Linked DNA regions of Saccharomyces cerevisiae S288C. The protein of the gene in region 1 binds, or shares a complex with, the protein of each later gene. Each region holds a gene or a part of one and is shown on either strand. Other genes may lie near its edges. The genes, in order: MRP17, MRPS17, MRPS18 and RSM26.

The links.
Region 2: MRP17 (region 1) and MRPS17 share a complex: the UniProt entries of both Saccharomyces cerevisiae proteins name them as parts of the mitochondrial small ribosomal subunit.
Region 3: MRP17 (region 1) and MRPS18 share a complex: the UniProt entries of both Saccharomyces cerevisiae proteins name them as parts of the mitochondrial small ribosomal subunit.
Region 4: MRP17 (region 1) and RSM26 share a complex: the UniProt entries of both Saccharomyces cerevisiae proteins name them as parts of the mitochondrial small ribosomal subunit.

Annotation. Positions count from the first base shown.
Region 1 is NC_001143.9:436,597-439,192, forward strand, and holds MRP17 (mitochondrial 37S ribosomal protein bS6m MRP17), read right to left. Parts: upstream 897-2,596; coding exon 501-896; downstream 1-500. Other genes in the region: AUR1 (inositol phosphorylceramide synthase), read left to right, coding at 1-189; ESCRT-III subunit protein DID4, read left to right, coding at 1,182-1,241, 1,310-1,948; MET14 (adenylyl-sulfate kinase), read right to left, coding at 2,181-2,596. UniProt on the Saccharomyces cerevisiae protein: Component of the mitochondrial ribosome (mitoribosome), a dedicated translation machinery responsible for the synthesis of mitochondrial genome-encoded proteins, including at least some of the essential transmembrane subunits of the mitochondrial respiratory chain.
Region 2 is NC_001145.3:634,211-639,743, forward strand, and holds MRPS17 (mitochondrial 37S ribosomal protein uS17m MRPS17), read right to left. Parts: upstream 2,795-5,533; coding exon 2,081-2,794; downstream 1-2,080. Other genes in the region: Hsp90 family chaperone HSC82, read left to right, coding at 1-262; YMR187C (uncharacterized protein), read right to left, coding at 479-1,774; GCV2 (glycine decarboxylase subunit P), read left to right, coding at 3,290-5,533. UniProt on the Saccharomyces cerevisiae protein: Component of the mitochondrial ribosome (mitoribosome), a dedicated translation machinery responsible for the synthesis of mitochondrial genome-encoded proteins, including at least some of the essential transmembrane subunits of the mitochondrial respiratory chain.
Region 3 is NC_001146.8:56,323-59,308, reverse strand, and holds MRPS18 (mitochondrial 37S ribosomal protein uS11m MRPS18), read right to left. Parts: upstream 1,155-2,986; coding exon 501-1,154; downstream 1-500. Other genes in the region: BXI1 (Bxi1p), read left to right, coding at 1-411; serine/threonine/tyrosine protein kinase MCK1, read left to right, coding at 1,736-2,863. UniProt on the Saccharomyces cerevisiae protein: Component of the mitochondrial ribosome (mitoribosome), a dedicated translation machinery responsible for the synthesis of mitochondrial genome-encoded proteins, including at least some of the essential transmembrane subunits of the mitochondrial respiratory chain.
Region 4 is NC_001142.9:616,408-619,534, reverse strand, and holds RSM26 (mitochondrial 37S ribosomal protein mS42 RSM26), read right to left. Parts: upstream 1,302-3,127; coding exon 501-1,301; downstream 1-500. Other genes in the region: ESCRT-II subunit protein VPS25, read left to right, coding at 1-378; AIM25 (Aim25p), read left to right, coding at 2,201-3,127. UniProt on the Saccharomyces cerevisiae protein: Component of the mitochondrial ribosome (mitoribosome), a dedicated translation machinery responsible for the synthesis of mitochondrial genome-encoded proteins, including at least some of the essential transmembrane subunits of the mitochondrial respiratory chain.

The DNA.
Region 1 (2,596 bases):
TCAAAGAGTGATCCATTGGCTGCAGATTCAAACGATATCGAAAGTGTCCCTTTGTCCAACTTGGAACTTGACTTTGATCTTAATATGACTGATGAACCCAGTGTAAGCCCTTCGTTATTTGATGGATCTACTTCTGTTTCTCGTTCGTCCGCCACGTCTATAACGTCACTAGGTGTAAAGAGGGCTTAATGAGTATTTTATCTGCAATTACGGATACGGTTGGTCTTATGTAGATACATATAAATATATATCTTTTTCTTTCTTTTTCTTAGTCAGGATTGTCGTTTAGCATAATATACATGTAGTTTATTTAATCACATACCACTGATTATCTTTAGAATTTTATAAATTTTTGAAATAAATGGGTGGCTTTTAATGGTGTCTATGTTAAGTGAGGCTTTTAGAATGCTCTTCCTGCTTTGTTTATTATATGTGTATGAAAGATATGTATGTATTTACATGTGTTTGTAGCGTCCCCAGTCAAAACCTGTGCGCTATACCTAAATGGATTGATAATCTTCATTCACTAATTCTAAAATAGACTTCTTCCCCAAAGAACGGTGTAACGATGAGGCTCTATCCAGCTGCTTATCTAAATCAACTTTAACGATGGATGATCTTATGACACGGGGATCTTTCTTTAAAGTTCTTAGAATTTCAGACTGTACCGCAGCTGATGAATCAAACAGCATTAAAAAGTGATATGCTCGAAAATGTTTTTCCTGGTCTTTCTTCATTATTTTAGGAAGATACCTTATGCCCATGGGTACAATGTCCCTCACCACACCTCTGTTTTGAATAATCAGTTTCCCGATTGTGGAAGACAATTCTTTTGCTTCCAACTTTGGCGCATTGGAGTTGGTTATGCGAACAAGTCCGATCAGCTCATAAAGCATCTTAGTGAAAAGGGTGGTTTTGCGTTATTCTTTCCTCTGTTGAAGCTTTTCTATTTTGTTTAAGCTGAACTAGTGGGAGTTTCCATTAAAAGGCTAAAGTCTTGTTGAAACTTTTCCGGGTTAGATGATAACTGCGAAAAGATAGATAAAATCAGCATTAAAGGGACTTCGTCTCCTCCTAATCAGAAATCATCCTTTCGAATTATGCGTATTCAGTTGAAGCGTATTTGTGACCAGTGTACTTCAAGGCTGATTGTTTCACCCTTGGACACAGAACGTTAAACAATGAGTTTGTTTGAGTGGGTATTTGGAAAGAATGTCACTCCGCAAGAGAGGTTAAAAAAAGTATGTTGTTCTGTATTTGGATCAGTTATTTTAGTGAACATACTAACGTTAATTATTTGAGTTTTTAGAATCAAAGGGCTTTAGAAAGGACTCAGAGGGAGCTTGAAAGAGAAAAGAGAAAATTGGAACTACAAGATAAAAAACTTGTATCAGAAATTAAAAAATCGGCAAAGAATGGGCAAGTTGCAGCTGCGAAAGTTCAAGCAAAAGATTTAGTAAGAACCCGGAATTACATCCAAAAATTTGACAACATGAAAGCTCAACTTCAGGCGATATCATTGAGAATACAGGCCGTTCGAAGTAGTGACCAAATGACACGTTCTATGAGCGAGGCCACTGGTCTTTTGGCTGGAATGAACAGAACAATGAATCTACCTCAGTTGCAAAGGATATCGATGGAGTTTGAAAAGCAGAGTGATTTGATGGGTCAACGACAGGAATTCATGGACGAAGCTATTGATAACGTCATGGGTGATGAGGTGGATGAAGACGAAGAAGCTGACGAAATTGTAAATAAAGTTCTTGATGAGATTGGAGTGGATTTGAATTCACAGTTGCAAAGCACGCCTCAAAATCTGGTTTCTAATGCGCCGATCGCAGAAACAGCGATGGGGATTCCTGAACCTATTGGCGCCGGATCAGAATTTCACGGTAATCCTGACGATGACTTGCAAGCTCGGTTGAACACTTTGAAGAAGCAGACTTGAGCGCTCTGAGTATATTTAATGAATAATAGGTCTATACTATAATACATCAACTACTGATATCAAAGTAGGCACTTAGAATCAAAAGGCTTCCGAAAATTTGTTCAGTTTTTCACTTTACTCAATCTCGTCACTAAAGTTTTCTTTTTTTTTCGAATGAATCCTCGAATAAATATGTTCTATATTATATATATACATCTTTTATATATCATTAAATGTACAGTAATCGGTCAAATTACAAATGCTTACGGATGATTTTTTCACTGATTAAGTACTCATAAATAATGGTAGCACATTCTTCAACCGTCTTCTGGTCGGTTCTCAAATGTAGCTCTGGAGCTTTTGGCGCTTCATATGGGGCAGAAATACCTGTAAACTCCTTGATTACACCCTCCCTAGCTTTCTTGTATAAACCCTTAGGGTCCCTTTGCTCAGCGACTTCTAATGGAACATCAACAAATATTTCAATGAACTTCAAACCAGCCTCCTTATGTAGTTCACGAGCTCTATCTCTGTCAACTCTGTATGGAGAGATAAATGAGGTGATTGAAATAGCACATGAATCAGCAAATAGCTTAGAAACTTCGCTAATTCTACGAATGTTTTCATTTCTGTCCTTTTCTGAGAAACCCAAATCCTTGTTCAATCCAA
Region 2 (5,533 bases), on another chromosome or scaffold:
GGAATTGAAAAAGAGAGTTGATGAGGGTGGTGCACAAGATAAGACCGTCAAAGATTTGACTAACTTATTATTCGAGACCGCTTTGTTGACTTCTGGTTTCAGTTTGGAAGAACCAACTTCTTTTGCATCAAGAATAAATAGATTGATTTCTTTAGGTTTGAACATTGATGAGGATGAAGAAACAGAAACCGCTCCAGAAGCTTCTACCGAAGCTCCAGTTGAAGAGGTTCCAGCTGACACCGAGATGGAAGAAGTTGATTAATCTCTTTTTTCGCCTTCATGTTTTATATATTATATAAATTTGTTTACTTATTTTTACTATTTGTAATAATGATTCTGCTTTACGCGCCTTTAAAAAAGTTGGTCTTAATGTAAACATGAACCATAGCACACAATTTAAGACATCAGCTGTCAAATGACCATAAAATTGTCCTACCAGCTGTCCTTAAAGTTTAGTGTACACTTACGAATGACTTATTTACTCACCTTTGCAACTTTGTTCAATAAATTCATTGATCTTTTCAAGTTCCTGACATCTTTTGTAACTGGCATAGAGCTTCAGACTTGACCAGCCTATAGCAGCAGTACCACAACCTATAATATTGAAAATCATTCTAAATTCCGAAGGGGAGCAATTCGGCGTCCATTCAATTTTAAACTTTCTCTGTATCCATAGAAAAGCATTCAATAGAAGACCTCCTGTACATTTACCAACAAAGGGCCATAGTATCTTTTCTGCAAGAATAGCATACCAATTCCGCCTGATAAAAAATTCCTCAGCTGGAACGCTATTACTAGAGTTTTCAAAATTTCCGTGATACAAATACTTACCTCCTTTATTGATCAGCCTCCTGTAAATTAAGTCAACCAATCTTTTAAAGGTAAAATTATAGCAAAATGTAGCCAAGTTAGAATACAAAATTATTTTAGGTAAACCTATACCCTTGTAATATTTGTTTCCAGCAGTTTTTACAATACTGAGATACACCCACTTAAAGAGTATTGCATTAGCACTGACGTTAGAAATGTTGCTAAGATAATGTATGAACCCATATATTATGATCGAGGAGGTTAAAGGAATGCTTAATAAGCCACGTTCAGTTTGCGCATATACGTCCAATGCCTTTGTAGTGCTGATGTTTAACATATTTCGTAGAACATTCTCAGGGAAAAGGCAGCGTAGTTGCCATAATCCAATGTCAAAACTTGTCTTTTCAGGGTTTAAAAGAAATAAACTAGTTATCCCTAATGGTATCACGTATCGTGTAATTTTTTGCCACTGATAAAACAGGGATAGTACAGAAGACTGGATGGTTACTGTAGGTCTTTTTATGAAATTTGTTTTCTTGCATTGAGGACATTCGCCAAATTTCACTAACACATAAGGTGGATGATTATCCCGTTTGGTATAAAGAGACATTAGATTGAACACGTAGTCATTTTGAAACGGTACTGATTTTTGCCCCCAAATGGGACGAGTTTCCCATATTTCTGTAAGAGAGAAAGTCGTCATAAAATCATGGTGCCCATCAACGAGACATTTTAAACAGGTGATTATAGGTAAATCAGCATCCTTTGGTAGGTCCACTGTGTTCGGAAGAAAAAGTTCAACATGCATTTGATAGAGCCATCTTATATAGCAGCGTTTATGAATTTGTAAGTTGCAACCGCACGTGTGCTGTAGCCATGTAGAGTCATATGTGGATTCTTCCAAACATATCCAGCATATGCATCTTTTTTTTATGAGAGATAAAAAAAAATGAGGTGGGGTCATATAAAACTTGGACTATTTCCTTGGAATTTTCTTGTTTGTAAAATCAGAGCAGAGCTCTTTTATTTACTTTTGTTTTTGACGATGGGGACGAGCGATGTACTCACATCTTCGATATCACTTGCCTGAAAATATATAAATGCGTTAAACGATAGAAAATCAAAAACATCGTTCTTTTCACTAGAATATTTTAAAGTCAAAACATAACACTTTACTATTTACGTAACGAAGTCTTGTAGTTGTATATATTTACAGAGTGTAGTGCTTTAGTTGAGAAAATATGACACTCGGCTTTCCTCTTTCTTTTATTTACTGGCTTGGTTGTTGCATATCCATCATGACGTGCTTTCTTAACAAATTTTTTTTGATGTTTTTTTTCAAGGTCAAAGGATCCTCAACACCATGATCCTTCAAAAATTGATCACATTTTAGATCATTCGACAACAATTCGGATAATCGCGTTTGAATACGATCAATGAGACTTCTTTGTTTCTCCAAATTAACCTCCAATCCAGAGATGTCTAACTGTAAAAGTTGCCTCACTGTTTCTTGTGAAAAATCTTGAATGCCGTACCTTTGTTTAATCTCCAATAACTCTTTCGGCGTTGACCCGCTAGATAAAGCATCTTGGATGGTCCTAATATCACGTAAAAGGGTTGTTTTTTCATTTAGTTTATTCTCCCTCACTGATCTTTTATCCAAAAATTCTTTTGCCTTTTGGGCTTCTTCTTTTGCAACGCTTAACTGAGCTTCTGATTCGTATAATGCAAATTGTTGACCCTTGTTTCTAATAATTTCTGCAATGGCAAAAAACTTCCTCTTTGAAAGCGGCCTCGTCGCTTCTATCCTTACTAAATCACCCTCCCTTGATATTTCACCTTCATCATGCACTAAATAATCTCTTCTATGAAATAACTCCTTGTTGATTTTCTTATTAAAGACTTTTGTTTCTACACGTACTTTAACCGTCTTTTGCATCTTCCCTTGGGAGACGACCAAGCCTAAAAAATTTTGGCGAGCCATTACAGTTTAACTGATCTTGATTTGACTTTTGAAATCTCTAACCCGAATTCAACTCCCTGAGTTTACTTCTGTTTGGCCTTATTTGTGGATTTCCTCTAACAGTTTGATGCTCGCATTGGTTTGGCACAATCCCAAATTGCTTCAGAATTCTAATCTTATGAAATAACAATCATGTTACCCGGTTGAATCGTTACCCGACATCTCTGACTCTTCTTGAGGTATAGACTCCTCCTTTTCGGAGTCATGACTCTCAGAGGAGTCATCGAAGTCAGCATTGAGCTGTGAAGGACCTTGATAAGCTAGTCGAAAGATCTCCAACGAATATAAATGGATGTATATATAGCAGGCTCGAGTGGCACAATTTTCTTCTCTTCAAGTTCCAGTGAATTAGTCTTTCTCGTGTGTACCAATCTTACTGTATTGATTGCTGCGCGATCTAACCATCAACTAACCACAGTTTATTGGAAAAACGTTTCCTAATACCAGGAAGATAACATGCTTAGGACAAGAGTGACTGCTCTCCTTTGTAGGGCTACTGTCAGGTCAAGCACCAATTATGTTTCATTAGCGAGGACTAGATCATTCCATTCTCAATCTATTTTGCTCAAAACAGCCGCTACAGACATAACGTCTACACAGTACAGCAGGATTTTCAATCCTGACTTGAAAAACATTGATAGACCGCTAGATACTTTTGCTAGACGTCATTTAGGTCCTTCTCCTAGCGACGTTAAGAAAATGTTAAAAACAATGGGTTATAGCGATTTAAACGCATTTATAGAAGAGCTCGTTCCTCCCAATATTTTGAAGAGAAGACCCTTGAAACTAGAAGCTCCTAGTAAGGGATTCTGTGAACAAGAAATGCTTCAACATCTAGAAAAGATTGCCAATAAGAACCACTATAAAGTTAAAAATTTCATAGGTAAGGGTTACTACGGTACGATTTTACCACCGGTTATACAAAGAAACCTGCTAGAAAGTCCAGAATGGTATACTTCTTATACGCCCTATCAACCCGAAATTTCTCAAGGTAGGCTAGAAGCGCTATTAAACTTTCAAACGGTTGTTTCAGATTTGACTGGTTTGCCTGTGGCGAACGCCTCATTGTTGGATGAGGGTACAGCGGCTGGAGAAGCTATGCTCTTGTCATTCAATATTTCCAGAAAAAAGAAACTAAAATACGTAATAGATAAAAAATTACACCAGCAAACAAAGAGTGTCCTTCACACCAGAGCCAAGCCGTTCAATATTGAAATTATTGAAGTTGACTGTTCGGATATCAAGAAAGCTGTGGATGTTTTAAAGAACCCCGACGTATCTGGTTGTTTGGTTCAATATCCAGCGACAGATGGTTCAATCTTACCGCCTGACTCGATGAAACAGTTATCTGATGCGTTACACTCTCACAAGTCTTTGCTCTCTGTGGCCTCAGATTTAATGGCTTTGACACTTCTAAAACCACCTGCTCATTACGGTGCTGATATCGTCCTGGGTTCCTCTCAACGATTTGGTGTCCCAATGGGTTATGGTGGTCCTCATGCTGCTTTTTTCGCTGTTATTGATAAATTAAACAGAAAAATTCCAGGTAGAATTGTCGGTATCTCTAAAGACCGCTTAGGCAAGACGGCCTTGCGGTTGGCCCTCCAAACAAGAGAACAACATATCAAGCGTGATAAGGCAACTTCAAATATATGTACCGCTCAAGCTTTACTGGCTAATGTTGCTTCGAGCTACTGTGTTTATCACGGTCCTAAGGGCCTACAGAATATTTCCAGGAGGATATTTAGCTTAACATCAATATTGGCAAATGCCATCGAAAATGACAGTTGCCCTCACGAACTAATTAATAAAACATGGTTTGATACTTTGACTATAAAGTTAGGTAATGGCATATCCTCCGAGCAGTTATTGGACAAGGCCTTGAAAGAATTTAATATCAATTTGTTTGCCGTGGACACCACCACTATTTCCTTGGCTCTTGATGAAACAACTACAAAAGCTGATGTTGAAAATCTACTAAAAGTGTTTGACATTGAAAATTCTTCGCAGTTTCTTTCTGAGGACTATTCTAACAGTTTCCCAAGGGAATTTCAGCGTACTGATGAAATATTGAGGAACGAAGTCTTTCACATGCACCATAGCGAAACAGCAATGTTGAGATATTTACATAGGTTGCAATCTCGTGATTTATCTCTTGCTAATTCTATGATTCCTTTAGGTTCCTGTACTATGAAATTGAACAGTACTGTTGAAATGATGCCAATCACTTGGCCCCAATTTTCGAATATCCATCCGTTCCAGCCATCAAACCAAGTCCAAGGATACAAGGAACTAATTACTTCGTTGGAGAAAGATTTATGCAGCATTACAGGTTTCGATGGTATTTCTTTACAACCAAATTCAGGTGCTCAAGGTGAATATACTGGTCTGAGAGTAATCAGATCCTACCTGGAAAGCAAAGGTGAAAATCATCGTAACGTGTGTTTAATCCCTGTATCCGCTCATGGTACAAATCCGGCTTCTGCCGCTATGGCGGGTTTAAAAGTTGTTCCTGTCAACTGTTTGCAGGATGGCTCATTAGATCTGGTTGACTTAAAGAATAAGGCTGAACAACATTCTAAAGAACTAGCCGCCGTAATGATCACCTATCCTTCCACTTACGGTTTATTTGAACCAGGCATCCAACATGCTATTGATATCGTACATTCTTTTGGTGGACAAGTCTATTTGGATGGTGCT
Region 3 (2,986 bases), on another chromosome or scaffold:
TCGCTGGTAACCTTAGCGTACGATAAGGATACAGTACTTTCGGCTCTGCTGATCACCACCATCGTCGTAGTCGGCGTTTCCTTGACCGCACTATCAGAGAGATTCGAGAACGTGCTGAATTCCGCAACGTCAATATACTATTGGTTAAACTGGGGTCTATGGATTATGATCGGAATGGGTCTCACGGCCTTGCTTTTCGGCTGGAATACCCACTCTTCCAAGTTTAATCTGCTTTACGGCTGGCTTGGTGCCATTTTATTTACCGCGTATCTTTTCATCGATACGCAACTGATTTTTAGGAAAGTGTATCCTGATGAAGAAGTTAGATGCGCCATGATGCTTTACCTGGACATCGTCAATTTGTTTTTGTCTATTTTAAGGATTTTGGCCAACTCTAACGACGACAATTAAAAAAAGGGAAAAATCGAATTATTTACACGAATATATATATATTTCTTCTTCTTTTACATAGTTTATAATTCATACATAGTGGGAGCTGATCATAGTCTTCTCATCTTTGGTGATCTTACACCACCAAACTTCAATTTGGTGGCATCGCTGATCTTCACAACCTTTTTCACCACACTGGCCCCTTCCTTACCAACAAGAGCGGAAATAAAAGCAGCTCTGCCCTTCCCAAAGTCGTCCATCACCACTTCGATATCTTTGTTCAGCATGTTCTTTTCCTTAATCAATTCAAACATTCTACCACTGGTTTGAAATGCAGCTTCATACTCCCCTCTTGCTGCCTTCCTAAACCCTAAACAACCTGTAGATAGCGAAATCTTCACTTTCTGGGGTAAGTTCAAATAGTACAGCATTGTATCATTATACGTAAGTCCCTTATTCTTATGAAAGTTCTTGTCCTCCACAACGCTTGAAAATGTCAAATGCGTGTTATTTTTAGTAAACTTGCCATGTAGAATGTACTTAACTACTTCCTCTTTGGGCTTGTAAACCTCACTACTACCATTTGACTTTGTCAAAACTGAGTCAGAGGACGAAGGATACGAGATATTCGTGATATCCTCCTGATTTGAAATATCCTTAAATGAAAAAGGAACTCCTCTATTCGTGCCGGTAGAATTCCATCTTCTGATAGGCCTGACAAACTGCGTCCATCGGCAGCCTTTCCAAACAGGTTGTAACAGCATCACACGTAACTATAACAGTTCACACTGTCACTTTTTCTTTTCAGAAGAACCACTGCTTTCCACCTGATTTACTCTCATTTTGTCTTCCCTCTTTCCCAATTCATCGTTATTATGCCAAACAGTCACGAAGTACGAAACAAACACTCTCCGCTGCTATAGAAAGTTCCAATCTTAGGCTGAATAATGGAATACTAGTAGCTCAGTGATTATCATCATAATTGAAGCTATCATTAAAAAGCATGCAGCCATATTATGCAGGAATTATATGATCACACGTAGCTGTAGTGGCTTTCGAAAGCAGCATTCTTGCTTCCACTCAGTTCGTATGTAATGACAGTTCAGTGACCCACAAACAACACTGAAAAAAGCGACCTTCATATGCGGAAGAGGGCAGGCGTAACCTCCAAGGGAAAACGACATAGATTTCGCAAGTGAGTGCCATTGTGTCGTGTTAGTAGTGTGGGCAGGCCCGTAACGTGTTTATTGATAGGAGTTAAGCCCAAGACTACAGAGTTCTTTGCTTCATCTTTCAATTTTCTTTTTATTTTCCGAAACCCCCACTCCATCACATTCTAGTACATATGTCTACGGAAGAGCAGAATGGTGTTCCTCTGCAAAGGGGATCTGAATTCATTGCAGACGATGTAACCTCGAATAAATCGAACAACACGAGGCGGATGCTGGTGAAAGAGTACAGGAAAATCGGTAGAGGTGCCTTTGGGACTGTTGTACAAGCATATTTAACCCAGGATAAGAAAAACTGGTTGGGCCCCTTTGCAATTAAAAAAGTCCCTGCTCATACCGAGTACAAGTCCAGGGAATTACAGATTCTGAGGATTGCCGACCATCCAAATATCGTTAAATTGCAGTATTTCTTTACTCATTTGTCCCCGCAAGATAATAAAGTTTATCAACACCTTGCCATGGAATGCTTACCAGAAACTCTACAAATCGAGATTAATCGTTATGTGACAAACAAGCTAGAAATGCCATTAAAACATATCAGGCTATACACTTATCAGATTGCCCGCGGGATGCTTTATTTACACGGTCTTGGCGTTTGTCATCGTGATATCAAACCATCCAATGTTCTTGTAGACCCGGAAACCGGTGTCTTGAAAATCTGCGATTTTGGGTCTGCCAAAAAATTGGAACATAACCAGCCTTCAATTAGTTACATCTGTTCAAGATTTTATAGAGCGCCTGAATTGATCATTGGTTGTACCCAATATACCACCCAGATCGATATATGGGGGCTTGGTTGTGTCATGGGCGAGATGCTTATCGGCAAAGCCATATTTCAAGGTCAAGAACCCCTTCTACAGCTAAGGGAAATTGCTAAATTGTTAGGTCCTCCCGATAAAAGATTCATTTTCTTTTCGAATCCGGCCTACGATGGCCCTCTATTTTCCAAACCACTGTTCTCGGGCTCTTCGCAACAGAGGTTTGAGAAGTATTTTGGCCATTCCGGTCCAGATGGTATCGATCTTTTGATGAAAATATTGGTCTACGAACCACAACAAAGACTGTCTCCAAGAAGAATCCTTGCCCATCAGTTCTTTAATGAATTAAGGAATGATGACACTTTCTTACCAAGAGGTTTCACTGAACCAATCAAGCTACCAAATTTGTTTGATTTTAATGATTTTGAGTTACAAATTCTGGGTGAATTTGCTGATAAAATTAAACCTACGAAAGTTGCTGAATAATAATTTTCTATTAATTTGTTCTCTTTCCCCTCGGAAAATTTAATGAACAAAATACTATGATTTTTTTCACCTTTGATCCGCTGTTTATATTTCACTTGGAAAAGAAAAAAAATTTTTTGGAAT
Region 4 (3,127 bases), on another chromosome or scaffold:
AATGAGGACATCCAAAGATCTGTATCACAGGTATTTATTGATGAAATTTGGTCGCAAATGACCAAAGAAGGCAAATGCTTACCGATTGACCAAAGTGGTAGGAGAAGCAGCAATACCACCACTACGAGATATTTTATATTATGGAAGAGCTTAGACAGTTGGGCTTCTTTGATACTACAGTGGTTCGAAGACTCTGGAAAACTGAATCAAGTCATTACGTTATACGAATTGAGTGAAGGTGATGAAACAGTCAATTGGGAGTTCCATAGAATGCCCGAAAGCTTGCTCTATTATTGTTTGAAGCCCCTATGCGATAGAAATAGGGCCACAATGCTGAAAGATGAAAATGATAAAGTAATTGCCATTAAGGTTGTTTAAAACACGAGCGAGAGGATAAAATAAAACTATTTACAGTATATAAGATTTTGGTAGATCCCCTTCTACCCGATACCTTTATAATTACATATGAGGGTAAGAGGCTATCGCTTCCTTTCTTTTCATTACTTCGATATACCAGAGAATATCCTATTATTTACCACTGACCAATTCAAGTTATCTAGAACATTCTTCACGTATTTGGACCGGTTACCAACGCCATAATCATGTAAATAAGCATGATCCCACAGATTGACACAGATTATAGGCATGGTCCAGTCTTGAACCTTACCATTCAACTTAGTAGACTTTCCTATCAGTTCTTTCATTTGTTTCAAGGTAGCAAATTCATCGATGGATATCGCACTGTTTAAATCAAATGACTGGTTCCTGGGAAAATAATACGGCGTACCATTATTATTGCTCGTTAATATGAAGAGTTTTTTCTCATTGTTTTCAACTAGAAATAACCAGCCTTGTCCCAAGACTTCATTCTCAGCACGGTAAATCATTTCCTCCTTCACTACTTCCCAATCGCTGCCGTTGAATGAATCTTTGATTTTGGATAAAAAAAGCCTAGAAGGCTCTGTCTTCACAACGGCGTTCGAGTTAGTGCCATGTTCAACAGCAGAAGGTAGAATGTTCTCCACGAATAAATGGTTATTATGGATAGAGGACGCCAAATTGAAGATGTTTGACTGTAATGGATTTCCTGCAGTTTTCAGCAATATGTGAAATGGATAATATGATTCCAAAGACTGTCCCGCTGTCGCCAGCGTTAGCTTATCACATAGATATCGCTGGTAGTCGAACCACACCGTCTTGAATCCCGAAGAACTGAGTATATTAGGCACTCCATTTTGCAGTAGGGCCTTAGAATTTGGTAGTTTAGGTACTACGTGAATACCCCTTTTGAAAACAAGCATTTCTCTGCGTCTTAGTTGCGCCAAGAAGACGATATTATGTGGTCTTCAGAAATTTGCCTGCAAAATATCCTCTTATTGTGAAAAGACTTTTGCTATACCCTTCTTACTTTTCCATGCTTTGCGATACTTCTTGCTCAGTCCAAAAAAGTACTGCGGCACCTCTCCTAAGATTCTTGGAAAGATGGGAAGTGAAAAAAAAAAATACAAAAAATAATGAGAGCTAAGGGATTCGAACCCTTGCATCCGAAGATATCAGAGATTTTAGAGGTTAAATCCACCTAAATCTGACGCCTTAAACCACTCGGCCAAACTCCCATTGTTTGTTGAATGGACTTCATAAACAATCGCATATCATTGATTGGTTACTTTTTAAGAAGGGATTGATGCCAAAGTCAGATGGTAACCATTGGATCAAGTGATAACACGTTTAAATGAAACAGTACCCATTTCTATAGACCAGATACCACGGAAGGATTACTGTAGAGGTGAGATATGAGATAGAGGGAATTGCCATTCGGTTAATAGCATATATAGGTTTTTATATGGAAGATTTGTGGGGCAATTGATTACCTTGTCAAAAATATATATAATATCTTGGAGCTGTAAAGGAAAGGCAATGTACAAAATCGACCAAGAGCTTTACTAAGTCTGGACAGTCGTTTGTCTGCCGATGTGGAAAAATAGCTTTCAATATAGTTATAGGAAGAATTTTCATAACAAGTGCGCGGTCTTGTTCCCCTTAACAGGTTCCGAACCTAGTATGGGAGAGGTTTCATTGACTTCGTTATATACTTCATTCAAGTTTGTAAGCCTACCGGCAATAAGGATTTGAAAAGTACGAAATGAAAAAAGACAAAACAAAAGAAGATTAAAGGTCAAACATAAAGGATAACACCGACATGCATAGAACGGCAATATTTCTAACTTACCGATCATGTATGAGAAATTTCAGTACACTGAGTAAAACATTAACGGTTTCTTCTGGTAAAGTAATCAGAAACGGTCCATTTAGGAGAGTAATTCGTGAAAAGAACCAAATAACGAAGGCGCCATCAGTAAAAGCATTTAAAGAAAATAGCAATAGCGGGATAATAAAAGTACATGATCCTATAGCTACTACGATACTTAATGAACCGACAGTTATTATCGAAAGGCAAATAGAATTTATGAACGTTTTTCTAGGTTTCGAGCAGGCTAATAGGTATGCCATAATGGATGTGAACGGAAACAAAATAGCATCAATGATGGAAAGAGATTTTTCTATAACAAAGGCCATAATGCGGCAGTTTTATCGTCTACATCGTCCTTTTTTGGTAGATGTCTTTGATAATTGGGGAAATGTAATAATGACGATTAAAAGGCCCTTTTCGTTCATCAATTCTCATATAAAGACTATCATACCTCCTTCCGCGTATGTTGATAATGGCAGTGACTCCACTCACTATCACGACGGTAAAGAAGGAACGACAGTAGGAGAGACCATTCAGAACTGGCATCTCTGGAGGCGTCGTTACGAATTATTCCAGAAAGATGGAGTAGAAGGATCCACTTTTGACCAATTTGGTAAGATAGATGCACCTTTCTTATCATTTGATTTTCCTGTAACAGATGCTGATGGTAAGATAATGGCGAGTGTAGACAGAAATTGGGTTGGTTTAGGAAGAGAAATGTTTACCGATACTGGTGTTTATGTTGTTAGATTTGATTCGCAGAGATGCTTTGATAATATTTATCCTACTGAGATGCTAAGTTCTCAAGTACTAACTTTGGATCAAAGGGCCGTGTTATTAGCAAACGCTGTGTCCATCGATTTCGATTATTTTTCG